3 linked regions of the Sus scrofa genome follow. The main gene of each other region encodes a partner of the protein of the gene in region 3 in a complex. Links are inferred from orthologs where the notes say so. Each region holds a gene or a part of one and is shown on either strand. Other genes may lie near its edges. The genes, in order: CIRBP, SRSF1 and TNPO3.

Region 1 (4,325 bases), on a different chromosome or scaffold from region 3:
TCCTGAGCCAAGGAGGTGTCCCAACGATCCTGTTACAGGAGTCAGCGTCCATGCTCAGGTCCCTACTGCATCAGCTAGATCCAGAGCCAGACTCTGTCACTATGGTGTGACAGAGTCTGGCTCCTGGAGTGGGACTGGAACTTTTCTGGGGCAGGCAGCAAAGCAAAGCATGGGTCTCTGCTCTAAAATCCCCCTGTTTTTATGCAGAGGGTCTGCCCTTTTAAGACTTTCTAGGGATATAGCTTGGGCCTCTGGTCTGGGCAGGCAGGGGTCTACACTAGCATTTTGTTGTTGTTAATTTTATGCCTGCACCAGCAGCAGATGGAATTTCCTCAGCCAGGGATTGAATACCTGCCACAGCTGCAACAGTGCCAGATCCTTAACCCACTGCACCAGGCAGGAGATGAAACCCTCGCCTCAGCAGGCAACTCGCTACCCTTAAGCAGCTGTGCAAGCTTTTTCCACCCCATGGAGGGTTCTGCGACACAGAAGGTAGTGTAACCAAGGCCTGGGCAGGGTGAAAGTGGTGGCCGTGAGAGGGGCTCCCATAAAGAGGGCATGGGGATCCAGAGGAGCAGCCCTGGGGGTAAAGATCCCTGCAAACCTGGTTCTCCTGTTGCAGAGGCCTCCGGATTCGGACTTTCATACAGGAAAAAGATTCAGGGGGAGGAGCCAAGGGAGTGCAGAATAGTGTTGGGGGGGGTGCTGGAGCACGTGATTAAGGGGAGGCGGGGGCTGAGCTGAATGTTGAGGTCCAGTGGGACTCAGGGCTGCGCCCAATTGTGGGTTTGAGAGGCCAGGACAAGGTCAGCCAGCCATCTAGTGCTGGGATGCACAAAAGGGTCTGGCCAGCTGACTGGGGGTGTGGGCGTTGCACTAGACGGAGTGAAGTCAGGATGCAAGTTGGGATTTGTAGGCAAACTGGGTTGGGTGAAATTGGGGTACCCCAAAGTTGTAAAGTAGGAAGAATGGGATCATGACGAATATTTTTGGGAGGGCTTTGGGGCCAGTCACGTTAAGCGGGACATTCAGGAGCATTGGGTTCTGGGCACTCTGGGGTGTCGGTTACACGTTGGCAAATATATAAGAACTGATGTCAGGATTCATCAGTTGGGGTGTCTGAGAGCTGATCCTCAGGTGCGTATGGGGATCTGGCTGAGGTCCTATGTGGGCGATTATTGGAGCACTGCAAAGGACGGGGTTGCAGCGGCCAGGGAGCTTTCCCAGGAGGAAGCAGCAGCCTGAACCCCTTTTGTTCCCCGCCGCAGGCCAGGGACTGGCACGCGGAAGTGGGTCAGCTCCGCCCAGCAGCGCGCTGGCCCCGCCCCCCGTCATGGTCTGGAGACTGCAGACCATGCGCATCCCCGCCAGGCACTTTGACCCCCGCCAGCACGCGGGAGGGGGCGGGGTCGGCACAGGCCCAGCCCCCCAACTCATAAATGTGAGGCACAGCCACGCCCTCAGGGGCCCTGGATTGGCCGACTCGGGGAGGGGGGGATGGGGGCGGGCTTAGGGGGGGCGGGTCCCAGCGGCAGCGTACAAAAGGCCGTACCCGGAAACTGCCCCCCCTCATTCGCGCGTTAGAAGGCTCAGGCCGTTGTGCTGTGCTGTCTTCCCGCCTGCGCCAGGGACCTGCCCAACTCAGTGGTGAGGGCCCTGGCGGTACCGGCTCCGCGGGCCCGGGGCGGCGGGCGGCCAAGGCGGGCCGGCCAAGGCGGGGCGGTGGCAGCACGCCCCTGGGCGGGGGGCGGTACCGGGGCGGGTCCGGGGTGGAGTCCGCTCCGCCGGCGGAGAGGGGTTGCGGAGACCGGGCCGTGCCGCGGCCGGAGGACGTCCTCCGCGGGCTAGAGCGCCGCGAGCGGGTCACCGCCGTAAAATGGCGGCCGCGAGAGCGAGGCTGCGCCCAGCGAAATGGCGGGAGCCCCGGGTACCCGGATGGAGTGGCGCAAGCCGCAGGCGGGGCGCATGCGCGGGGGCGGGGCCGGGGCTACTCCCCTCTTTCCTGTTGGAGTTGTGTGAGGGCGGCACATCATGGGTGCCGCCCACTCTCCGATCCCCAGGTTTGGGCCCAAACTTGCAAGGGGTTGCAAGGCTGCGGGTCGTCTTCAGGCCTGGTTTTGGAGTCATTCAGCGCAGGCCCCTTTCCTGTAAAGGGTCGCTTTAAGTCAGCACCTCCCCACATCCCGCTCCTTTTTAACATCATAGCACCCTACAGTAGACCAAGCACTTTGCCGCCCCTGTATAATAGAGAGGGTTAGAAGTTAGCTCCCTCCCCACCCCCCGACATGTTAGCAAAAGACAGAAGCCAGTGTGCACTCAGCCGGTGGCAGTGGAGATTGATGCCTTCCTTCATTGTCCAGCCCTAAACGTCCTGAGAGGGTGTCAGCGTAGCTGGAGTTTTGGGGTCCCAAATCCAGGCAGCACTGAAGAGTGCTTGCTGCAGAACCGCGGTCTGGCCCTAGCCTTCCGGGAGCCCCCAATTTCGGGAGTGGAGTTGGCCCAAGCACAGAAAAGGGGCAAGGGGGAGTGATAAAGGAATCAAGGGCTTGTTTGAATTAAGCCCTAGGTATGAGCTTGGGATGGTTAAAGGGCACAAAAGCAATTTTCCAATGTTTGTCCCAGGAGCGTGTGTTATTTGTCTAAAGTAAAAAACGGCGAGGGGGTGATTCTCCCGGCCCCTGCAGGACCTCTGAGGATTTCAGTGGTGTTTGCCACAGGTGACCATGGCATCAGACGAGGGCAAACTTTTCGTTGGAGGGCTGAGCTTTGACACCAATGAGCAGTCGCTGGAGCAGGTCTTCTCAAAATATGGGCAGATCTCAGAAGGTGAGGCTGGTTCCAGATTGGCTGGCAGCTGAGCAAGGCCGCTCACAGGGAGAGCTGGGTACTGACCTCAGACCTCTCCCTTGCACAGTGGTAGTAGTGAAGGACAGGGAGACCCAGCGATCGAGGGGCTTTGGGTTTGTCACCTTTGAGAACATTGATGACGCCAAGGACGCTATGATGGCCATGAACGGGAAGGTGAGAGGCGGCTGTCCTGGGGTCTAGAAGGTCCGGGCTGCAACCTGAGTGCAGGAGGTGCGGGGGCTAACCATATCGACTTCTGGTCTCCAGTCTGTGGATGGGCGGCAGATCCGGGTTGACCAGGCCGGGAAGTCATCTGATAACCGATCCCGTGGGTACCGAGGTGGCTCCTCGGGGGGCCGGGGCTTCTTCCGTGGGGGCCGAGGCCGGGGCCGTGGGTTCTCCAGAGGTGAGTGCCACTTGCAGGGAAGAGGTGGGGGCACTGCTTCAAGAGCTGACACTCACTTCTTGTCTCTGTATAGGAGGAGGGGATCGAGGCTATGGTGGTAGCCGGTTCGAGTCCAGGAGTGGGGGCTATGGCGGCTCCAGGGACTACTACAGCAGGTGAGGGTGGTGGGCCCATCTAGGGGCCAAGGGTGTCTGCCTGGATGCTGGCATGTGGGCTGCTCTAAGTAGCCTAAGGTACCGTCCAGCGCCCACCCATGTCCTTCCTACAGCCGGAGTCAGGGTGGCAGCTATGGTGACCGGAGCTCAGGCGGGTCCTACAGAGACAGCTACGACAGTTACGGTAAGTGGCGCTCTGAGGGCCTGCAGTGGGAGCACAGTGAGCCTTAGTGCCCTTTGTGGGCAGCGCTCAGACCTGCTCACTGCTTGCCCACAAGGTCCAAGACTGCCCTCCTGGGTCTTGGTGCCAGCAGCCATTTCTACCACAAACATAATCGTGAAACTAGATTGACCAAGAAGGAAAGGGAGAGCGAGGGCCCACGGAGCAGGCAGCATAAGTGCATGTGGGCCTGCCGTCGCCCGCCACCCTCGGCCGTGGGGGGGTTGGTTGCCCCCGAGGCCGCAGGGCTGAGCCCCCAGGTCTGGGCCCGGGCGTGGAATGCTGCGTCCTGTCGCGTGCTTCAGTGCCTTTACACTGTGCCTGCTTCTTCTTCTCAGCTACACACAACGAGTAAAAATCCTGCTCAAGATCGTCCTTCCAATGGCTGTATATTTAAAGATTTTGGGAGCTCCGCTGAATCGTTAATGTGTAGTGAATCCACCTCCTTGTACCCACTTTTGTAGTCTTATCAGTTCCTATCTTGTCAAACACAGCCTGACTGCTTCTGACCCCAGATGGCCTCATTATTACACTTTTCTTTTTAAAGAAGTGCCATCTGTTTTTGAGGATTTTGAACATGTTTTGCAAAGCACTTCAGGTTTTACTTTTTATCGTGAGCCATGAGCTTTTTAGAAAAATCATTGAGGGTTGCGAGAGTTTGAGTTTGGGTTGTGTTGCCTTTTTTCTCTTTTTCGTG
Region 2 (4,628 bases), on a different chromosome or scaffold from region 3:
ATTTCAAGGACTACTACTAAAGATCTTCTGTGAATCTGTTGAGCAGCAAATTAAATTTGCATTTTGGGATTACTGAGAACACTGTTAAAATACATGCAATCGCCTTTTAGAACTGAAAACATGACCTTCTGAAAAATCTTTTTAAGGCACTTTGGATCTTGAATATACTGTTTCCTTCTTTACTGTGACTGCCATGATGACTAGGGTCAAATTTGTAATCCATCTTTAGAACTCACAAATTTTTACTGCAGCCATTTTGTGTATTAACTTTATCCATGACTTCATTTTAATTTCCCCTTATATTCTCCGTGATTTCTCCATTCAATTGCAATAACGTTTTCTGGTATCTCTGTAAACAGCATCACATCACTGGGGAGAGGGATTGATGCGAATAAATAAAAATGAAGAAAATCATCCTCTCAATCAGGGTGCAGACCTGTTTCAGCATATTTATGACAGGGTTTTTTTTTTAATTTGAATTCACCATTAATATTTTAAAATCCCAGTATTTCATATAAAAATCCAGATTTCAGATGGCTCCGTGGCAAAATGTAACAAGTTCTTATCTCCCTGGACCAACATGCTGGCGAGATGAGTCCTTAAGCCGCCACTTCGGTCTCCAGTGGTCACAGAAATCCTCACACATCCACTTTGCTCATTCATATTACCTGAGAGATTTGCTAATGAGTTCCAAAAAAGGAAGGAACGTCAGGATTCTGCAATACAAACAGGAGGGCGCGCGTCTTTTTCGTTCTTTGAAAGACGTTGTAGAAATAACAGACACAATTCATTCTGCAAACCTTCACTGGACCTCTCCGCTGCGCTGGGCCCTGGCGATAGGTGATTTAAAAAAGAAGCAGAGGTCTGGGTCCTGGTTGGCTGATGCCGCCAGGAATTACCGCCACGAGCACAAGGAGCGTTGAACTGAGGTCAGTTCTGAACCGAAGGTGGAACGGTACTTAGCGTAGAATATTTATTAAAGCGTCTCAGCCAGGTTCCCCTGCATTAGACAGTCGTCCAAGCAGTCCACGGCCCGTTCGCAGATGGGGCGGGAAGACAAAGTCACGTCTCGGCTCCGCGTTGATTCACCCGCAACGCGACTCCTGAACGAGGTGCACTCTCCAAGGATGCCCGTGTTTCCGGAGCAACCGCCTGGTCCCTCCCCCTTTGACTCCGCCCCCGGCAGTCTTTCCCGCCAAAGGCCGTTAACAGCGCAGAGCATGGTGGGACCTAGCTTTAGGCTAGGTTTCACCAAATACTTTCAAGACGCCGTTTTTTTGAGAGAAACATTCCTGAGGAAACTGCTGATTCTTTAGGATTCGACAGAGATTAATAACCCCTTTTACGAGAGCTCTATATTTAATTTTGCCACAAGGCTGGTCACTCCCTTATTAAACCCCTCGACAAATCGGGAAGGCGGGAACTTTTTTCCCTTCGCGCGGAGGGTGACGTCGCGCTTGCGCGAGCGTCACTCTCGCAGCACCCGTTACGCTCTTGCGCGTGCGTAGTGAGATCGAATAGCTGCTTCCTCCCGCTTCTCTTCCTCCCTCCCCCCCATATCCGTGCGCCGAGCTGATAAAGGCGCCATTTTGGAGGGGCCGCGGGAGACGTGGTGTCGCTGCGGGCTCGCTCTCCCGCTCGCTAGGCTTGGTGGGAAGGCCTGTTCTCGAGTCCGCGCTTTTCGTCGCCGCCATGTCGGGAGGTGGTGTGATCCGTGGCCCGGCAGGGAACAACGATTGCCGCATCTACGTGGGTAACTTACCTCCAGACATCCGAACCAAGGACATTGAGGACGTGTTCTACAAATACGGTGCTATCCGCGACATCGACCTGAAGAATCGCCGCGGAGGACCGCCCTTCGCCTTCGTTGAGTTCGAGGACCCGCGGTGAGGCGGCCAGGGGCTTGCGGCCTTGAGGAAATAGGTTGGAGTAGTTGGGGAAGGCTCCGGGGCCTTCACTTGGGGAATGGGGCGGTGGGTTCTTGGGTTGGGGGCCAGACGATATCGCCCATGCAGGAGTCGAGTAAGGAGCCGAGTCGGCGTGGCTCCTCTGGTGGCCGGGCCCCACGGACGTCCCTAGAGCCGACTCGCAGGCTCGGAGCGGGAAACTGAGGCGCCGAGGGCTGCTGGAGTGGTCGGGAGCCTGGCGTGCTTCTGGGTGGGGGAGGGGCCGTTCCTATTATGCGGCGCATGTGGGCTCTTCCACCCCGGTGCGCATGTGCGGGGGCCCGCTCGCTCCCCGGCGGAGTGAGCCGCCCCTCCTGGCCCTTTTTTTTTTTTTTTCTTCTTTTCCTTACCCCTTGGCTTTCTCTGGTCACGCAGAGACGCAGAAGACGCGGTGTATGGTCGCGACGGCTATGATTACGATGGATACCGTCTGCGGGTGGAGTTTCCTCGAAGCGGCCGTGGTACCGGCCGAGGCGGCGGCGGGGGTGGTGGCGGCGGGGCTCCCCGAGGGCGCTATGGCCCCCCATCCAGGCGTTCTGAAAACAGAGTGGTTGTCTCTGGTGAGTTGGCGGGTCCGTGCGGATTGATGATAAGGGGACCGCACACCGTTTTGAAGTTTTTCTTGGTGTTTTCATGCCAGGTCTTCACTTAAACCGGAGTGCCTTGGGTGACTTTAGTTAACAAGGACTACTCTATTTGAGACTTAGCGAATTAGGTTGCAGTACCTAGAAGATAAGAAGAGCCTTAACTTTACAAATAATTTTGGACTCTTGATTCCGAACTCTTTTAACAGCTCGTTAAACGGGATGTTAAAGACCGTTGGTTTTAAGTCTTGTTTTAATGTAACCTTTATGTTTAATGTGAAACTTAGGATAATTGGTATTGAAAGAAAACGCACTTTTTCAGGACTGCCTCCAAGTGGAAGCTGGCAGGATTTGAAGGATCACATGCGTGAAGCAGGTGATGTATGTTATGCTGATGTTTACCGAGATGGCACTGGTGTCGTGGAGTTTGTACGGAAAGAAGATATGACCTATGCAGTTCGAAAACTGGATAACACTAAGTTTAGATCTCATGAGGTAGGTTATATTCTTTTCCTTGGCCAGAATTGGATACAGTGGTCTTAACAGTGGAATTTGAAGGTAAGATTCAGGCAAGGGTGTCCAAGTAAAAACCCAGTAAAGTGCCAGATTTCTGGTTTGAGTTACGTTGATTCATTCAGCATGCCTGAAGACAGGTGAAAGCTTAGATCTTTCAATCGAAAGTTCTGTCTATCCAATAGGGAGAAACTGCCTACATCCGGGTTAAAGTTGATGGGCCCAGAAGTCCAAGTTATGGAAGATCTCGATCTCGAAGCCGTAGTCGTAGCAGAAGCCGTAGCAGAAGCAACAGCAGGAGTCGCAGTTATTCCCCAAGGAGAAGCAGAGGATCACCACGCTATTCTCCCCGTCATAGCAGATCTCGCTCTCGTACATAAGATGATTGGTGACACTTTTTTGTAGAACCCATGTTGTATACAGTTTTCCTTTATTCAGTACAATCTTTTCATTTTTTAATTCAAAACTGTTTTTGTTCAGAGTGGGCTAAAGTGTTGAATTGCATTCTTGTGTAATATCCCCTTGCTCCTAACATCTACATTCCCCTCATGTCTGATAAATTGTATTTTAAGTGATGTCATAGACAGGATTGTTTAAATTTAGTTAACTCTCCATGCTCTTCAGACTGTGATACTGTGTAAATGTCTATTCTGCTCTGGTTTGTGTGAACTGGGATGTTGGGGGTGTTGGTGGTTATCTTACCTGGGGAAGTTCTTATGTTTATCTTGCTTTTCATGTGTCTTTCTGTAGACATATCTGAAGAGATGGATTAAGAATGCTTTGGATTAAGGATTGTGGAGCACATTTCAATCATTTTAGGATTGTCAAAAGGAGGATTGAGGAGGATCAGATCAATAATGGAGGCAATGGTATGACTCCAAGTGCTATTGTCACAGATGAAATTGGCAGTATTGACCTTATACTAAAAGGCAAGGGTTTAAAGTGATTATATACATCTATCTTAAAACACTTGAAAACATTTTATGCAGTTATATTTGGCTACAATTGCTTTACTCTTTAAAACTCTGGCAATTGTGGCAAAATTACATGGCCCATTTTGTAACAATTTGTTTTGCTCCCTTCCCTTTTTTGTTTTATTAGGGACTAATGTGGGAAGAACTGATTAATTTGTCACAGTGCTTAGTTACAACTGTTAATGTGTGACCTGCTGTTGGTGTACTTGTGGGTACAGGGTGTCTTTAATTCCAACCAGATAGAGTATAATATCAATACTGCTAAATCTGCATGTCCTCTGTGTGACTGATATAATAGCGTTGCTACTTCATTTTTTTAAGACAAAATGAAAGCAAAATAATAGAATTCCAATTTATTGGTGTAGATAATCTAGTTGGGAATACTTTTTAAGTCTCACGTTCCCCTTTAATATTCATAATTGACTCATGTTTAAAACACTTTAATTTACAAATTAAATTGCAGTTGGGAGCATTAGATTTAGTTTAGACTTAGGTGGGTAGCAATACCAGTAAACTTTTAAACTACATAACTTTTTGCAACCACAAAACCTGTAATACGCTGTACAGTAACAAGTGTTGGCATTATCAGTTGAACTGTAAATATAAAATGC
Region 3 (3,828 bases):
GAAAGAATACTTTTTTTGGTCATGCCTGTGGCATGCAGAAGTTCCTGGGCCAGGCAGGGACTGAACCCAAGTCCAAGCTATAGCCTGAGCCACCGTGGTGACCATGCCGGATCTTTAACCCACTGAGTCACTGGAGAACTCCTAGGAAAACATACTTTTAAAGAAACTTCCATTTCTGTATCTGTTTCTCTAAATTTAAAATCTAATATACTGCTGGAGAAGTTCTTTTAGTGCTAAATGGAGAATGTAGGGCCAATCTTCTTAAGTGGAGTTTTAGACCTAACATGGGAAGATAATTTGGGAGGATAATAATAAATCTGCTAGATAGGTGGCTTCTTAACTGGTTCCATTCATAGTATTTAAAATCGTTTCTTTCCTATATGGCCATTATAATAATAAAACTATCTTCTTTTCTAATTCAAATAAACCATCTTTTCTCTTTCTTTTAATTTAATAGGTAGTAGAAATTTCCTTTAACTTTTGGTACCGACTAGGGGAGCATTTGTACAAAACTAATGACGAAGTTATTCATGGCATCTTCAAAGCTTACATTCAAAGACTGCTTCATGCCTTGGCTCGCCACTGCCAGCTGGAACCAGATCATGTAAGTTTTCTTCTCTGCTTAAATCTTGATTTCCTCCTCTTTTTGGTGTAAACTTGAAAAGGAACTGAAAAGATAGAGAATAAAGCTAATGGAATCTACAGGTTTTCTGTCACTCTATAGCTTACACTGAAGAAGTCAACACCAGTATAATGAAAAGTGCTAGGCTTGTGTAGAAAAAAATTAATCCTGCTGAGCCAGTAATTCTTCTGGGAATTCACCTTAAATAGTTTTGCAGGAGGAAAAAATTGCTTTTTAATGTACAAAGCATTGTCTATAAAAGTAAAAATGGTAAACCCATGTGCAAGAGTGTTAGAAGAGTTACATAAATCATGATGTAGCAACTTGATGGACCCTAATGCAGCAGTTAAAAATAATGATTTGAAATAGCAGTGGTTGGTATGCTAGATGAAAAAAGAATGTGAAACTTTATATTTTTAATAGCATAAAATATGTGGTTGAATTAAAACTAACATAAAAGTGGAATATTTGTGTGAGGATGTAGAGAATAATATATGATTCCCCCTCCACATATGTGCCCATTTTTCTTTATATTATTTATATTAACTTTATAATTTTAAAAGAAAATAAATATTTGCTTAAAAGAAAATATACTAGAGATCATATAAAATAGTCCATTGGAAGACTCTTCAACCTCATTCTTTGCTTAGTCTCTTCACATTTTAAAGCATTTATTTTATCCTTTTGGTTGGTTGGTTGAATATCCCTGTACTTCAACCTAGTGGGTTTTTTTTCCTTATTGCATACAATTAAATCTGACATGAAAACTGTATTCTGTTCATTTTAATGTTAACACTGTCATTTGCATTATAGTATTTTGTATTTCCACAGAACCTTCATGATGATTTGGTTTAGTGGTTTTCAGTACTTTTTTATTTTATGTTTTATTTATTTATTTTTTTTGTCTTTTTTTGCTATTTCTTGGGCCGCTCCCGCGGCATATGGAGGTTCCCAGACTAGGGGTCGAATCGGAGCTATAGCCACCAGCCTACACCAGAGCCACAGCAACGCTGAATCCGAGCCGCGTCTGCAACCTATACCACAGCTCACGGCAACGCCGGATCGTTAACCCACTGAGCAAGGGCAGGGATCGAACCCGCAACCTCATGGTTCCTAGTCGGGTTCGTTAACCACTGCGCCACGACGGGAACTCCATCAGTACTTTTTTAAAACAAACTGAGGAGTCTTATCTTGAAATACATCTTAACTTGAAACCCTGATATGTAAATAAGCAGGGCCTCTCTGGTTTAAATGGCTGAGCTTGCTTGATCCTGTTCTTCCCTTTGCTAGGTAGGTTTGTGGCACTATTTCCCTTGCAGGTAATTCCTTCCACTTGTTACTGATAGTGCTTTGTAACTCATTATCTTGTCTGAAACAGCCATTGTTTCCTTCCTTGACCTTAGTTTTTTCATCTTAAAGCAAAGCGGTTGAACTGTATGAGAACTGTAAGGGCTTTCCCCATACTTGTGATCCAAGATTCTTATACATGCCCTTAACCACCTCACAGTTCATAAGCCTCAGTTTACTCACAGGAGTGTGTTGGAATAAGAAAAACTTAAGAAGCATAAAATATAAAAGATCTCTCTTTTTGTGTGTGTGTGTGTCTTTTTGTCTTTTTGTCTCTTTAGGGCTGTACCTGAGGCATATGGAGGTTCCCAGACTAGGGAACTGTAGCCACTGGCCTATGCCAGAGCCACAGCAACACATGATCCCAGCTGCATCTGCAACCTATACCACAGCTCATGGCAACGTCAGATCCTTAACCCACTGAGAGAGGCCAGGGATCGAACCCAAGTCCTCGTGGATCCTAGTTGGGTTTGTTAACTGCTGAGCCACAATAGGAACTCCGATCTCTGTGTTTTTTCATGAAAATTTCAAATATACAACAAAGGTGCATTAATTTTATAGTGAATATCTATATACGTACTACCTAAATTCTACCATTAATATTATTCCTGTCTTACGTATCTATTCACCTATATAAAATTATTTTTAAAGTCTTAAATTCTATTCTGTGTCTAGTTACTGTGATAAAGGTTGATTTTGGTAGCTCTGGAACCATAAAACTTTAGAGGCTAACTCAGTAATAAAAAGCTAGACCTTATCTAGGTAGCCTTATAAACTCTTAAATTATCACTTTTTCTAGGTCACTTCCCATCCTTATCACTCCAAATTTTTCCAACAACAGGGCAAGATGTAGCTTGGACATGCTTAAAAAAAAGAAGAGTTTCTCATAGGAAAGGTAGAGAATAGGTTGTATTGTAATTTAGACTATTTATCTTTTGTTCATTGGGACTGGACTGCTTAATGGCTTTTTTATTCTTGATTATATAGAAGTCAGTGGAAGCTGTAGTGAGTTTAAAACAAATGTTAACCTGATTTGAATTTTTAGGAGGGGGTTCCTGAGGAGACTGATGACTTTGGGGAGTTTCGGATGAGAGTGTCAGACCTGGTGAAAGACTTGATTTTCTTGATTGGGTCTATGGAGTGTTTTGCTCAGGTGAGCCCGTTTGGAGATTCTTTCCAGTTTTACTGATCATTTTAATTTTGTTCACTTCTGTGTCTTCTCTAAGTGTTCCATCTTTTTCTTCAATCTCAATGGCGAAATGGGATAGTAGATATGCAAGTGCCTAGCACACTGCCTGGCATATAGTAGCTGTATTTACTTAGTATTTTGCAAGCCAATTGCAGTGAATGGTTCAGTTATGGTTTACTCTATTACTCTTGCTAGTGAGAGCTGTTCTACTTGTTCAGTTGGAATGGAAGATCACAGATAAACCTAAAAGCCCCCAAGATACTTATAGGGAATTTGGACCTAGCCAGGAAAAATAGGCAAGTTTCTCTGCTTTAATGTATCAACTCCTGGCAACTCTTAGTTATTTGGCATTTATTTCCTTTGCTCATACTGAACGGTTAGATTGCTTTGCCGTTTCATCTCAGAGGTGACTATGCTAGAGTAGAAGAGTCATGGTGCTGTGATTTTCCTGACAGTAACGTTTTACCTCCGAAGACTGCAGTCATCACCATTCCACATCACTTAACATGAGCTTAATTTTGGGTGGTTTTCATATTGCTGGATCATGCTCTGAACCCTGAAATACTAGTTTTGATGCTTTGTCAGCAATACTGAACTAACCTAATTTGGGGGGGTGGTAACCCAGATATTTTGTGTATTTGGGGACATCGTCTGATCTAGAAAGTGTTAC

Evidence for each region.
Region 1: the proteins of TNPO3 (region 3) and CIRBP are in contact, whole or in part, in a crystal structure (PDB 8CMK), measured with the Homo sapiens proteins. The link is inferred for Sus scrofa from reciprocal best matches to the Homo sapiens genes TNPO3 and CIRBP. Residues at the interface, in NP_036602.1 of Homo sapiens: Arg620, Glu660, Arg661, Cys663, Arg664, Arg667, Phe668, Arg671, Ser698, Cys699, Tyr702, Ser705, Ile706, Asp709, Glu710, Asp747, Asp750, Asp751, Arg754, Arg758; in NP_001271.1 of Homo sapiens: Tyr160, Arg161, Ser163, Tyr164, Asp165, Ser166, Tyr167, Ala168.
Region 2: the proteins of TNPO3 (region 3) and SRSF1 are in contact, whole or in part, in a crystal structure (PDB 4C0O), measured with the Homo sapiens proteins. The link is inferred for Sus scrofa from reciprocal best matches to the Homo sapiens genes TNPO3 and SRSF1. Residues at the interface, in NP_036602.1 of Homo sapiens: His155, Arg157, Arg160, Thr167, Tyr254, Ile256, Glu257, Glu304, Glu340, Ile341, Phe343, Asn344, Tyr347, Arg348, Glu351, His352, Lys355, Thr356, Arg620, Asn656, Glu660, Arg661, Arg664, Arg667, Phe668, Arg671, Ser698, Cys699, Tyr702, Ile706; in NP_008855.1 of Homo sapiens: Ser116, Arg117, Arg118, Ser133, Trp134, Gln135, Lys138, Asp139, Arg142, Glu143, Gly145, Asp146, Cys148, Tyr149, Ala150, Asp151, Val152, Tyr153, Arg154, Val172, Arg173, Asp176, Asn177, Arg181, His183, Tyr189, Ile190, Arg191, Arg198, Pro200.

What each region holds. Positions count from the first base shown.
Region 1 is NC_010444.4:77,191,566-77,195,890, reverse strand, and holds the start of CIRBP (cold-inducible RNA-binding protein), read left to right. Parts: upstream 1-1,517; 5' UTR 1,518-1,647; intron 1,648-2,622; exon of another isoform or gene 2,623-2,717; 5' UTR 2,718-2,723; coding exon 2,724-2,826; intron 2,827-2,914; coding exon 2,915-3,021; intron 3,022-3,114; coding exon 3,115-3,253; intron 3,254-3,326; coding exon 3,327-3,408; coding exon of another isoform or gene 3,409-3,412; exon of another isoform or gene 3,413-3,521; coding exon 3,522-3,639; 3' UTR 3,640-3,966; coding exon of another isoform or gene 3,967-3,983; 3' UTR 3,984-4,325. UniProt on the Homo sapiens protein: Cold-inducible mRNA binding protein that plays a protective role in the genotoxic stress response by stabilizing transcripts of genes involved in cell survival. Acts as a translational activator.
Region 2 is NC_010454.4:34,279,093-34,283,720, reverse strand, and holds the start of SRSF1 (serine/arginine-rich splicing factor 1), read left to right. Parts: upstream 1-1,602; 5' UTR 1,603-1,692; coding exon 1,693-1,886; exon of another isoform or gene 1,887-2,313; intron 2,314-2,321; coding exon 2,322-2,506; intron 2,507-2,852; coding exon 2,853-3,025; intron 3,026-3,228; coding exon 3,229-3,423; 3' UTR 3,424-4,628. UniProt on the Homo sapiens protein: Plays a role in preventing exon skipping, ensuring the accuracy of splicing and regulating alternative splicing.
Region 3 is NC_010460.4:19,631,292-19,635,119, forward strand, and holds part of TNPO3 (transportin-3), read left to right. Parts: intron 1-457; coding exon 458-604; intron 605-3,014; coding exon 3,015-3,122; intron 3,123-3,828. UniProt on the Homo sapiens protein: Importin, which transports target proteins into the nucleus. Specifically mediates the nuclear import of splicing factor serine/arginine (SR) proteins, such as RBM4, SFRS1 and SFRS2, by recognizing phosphorylated SR domains.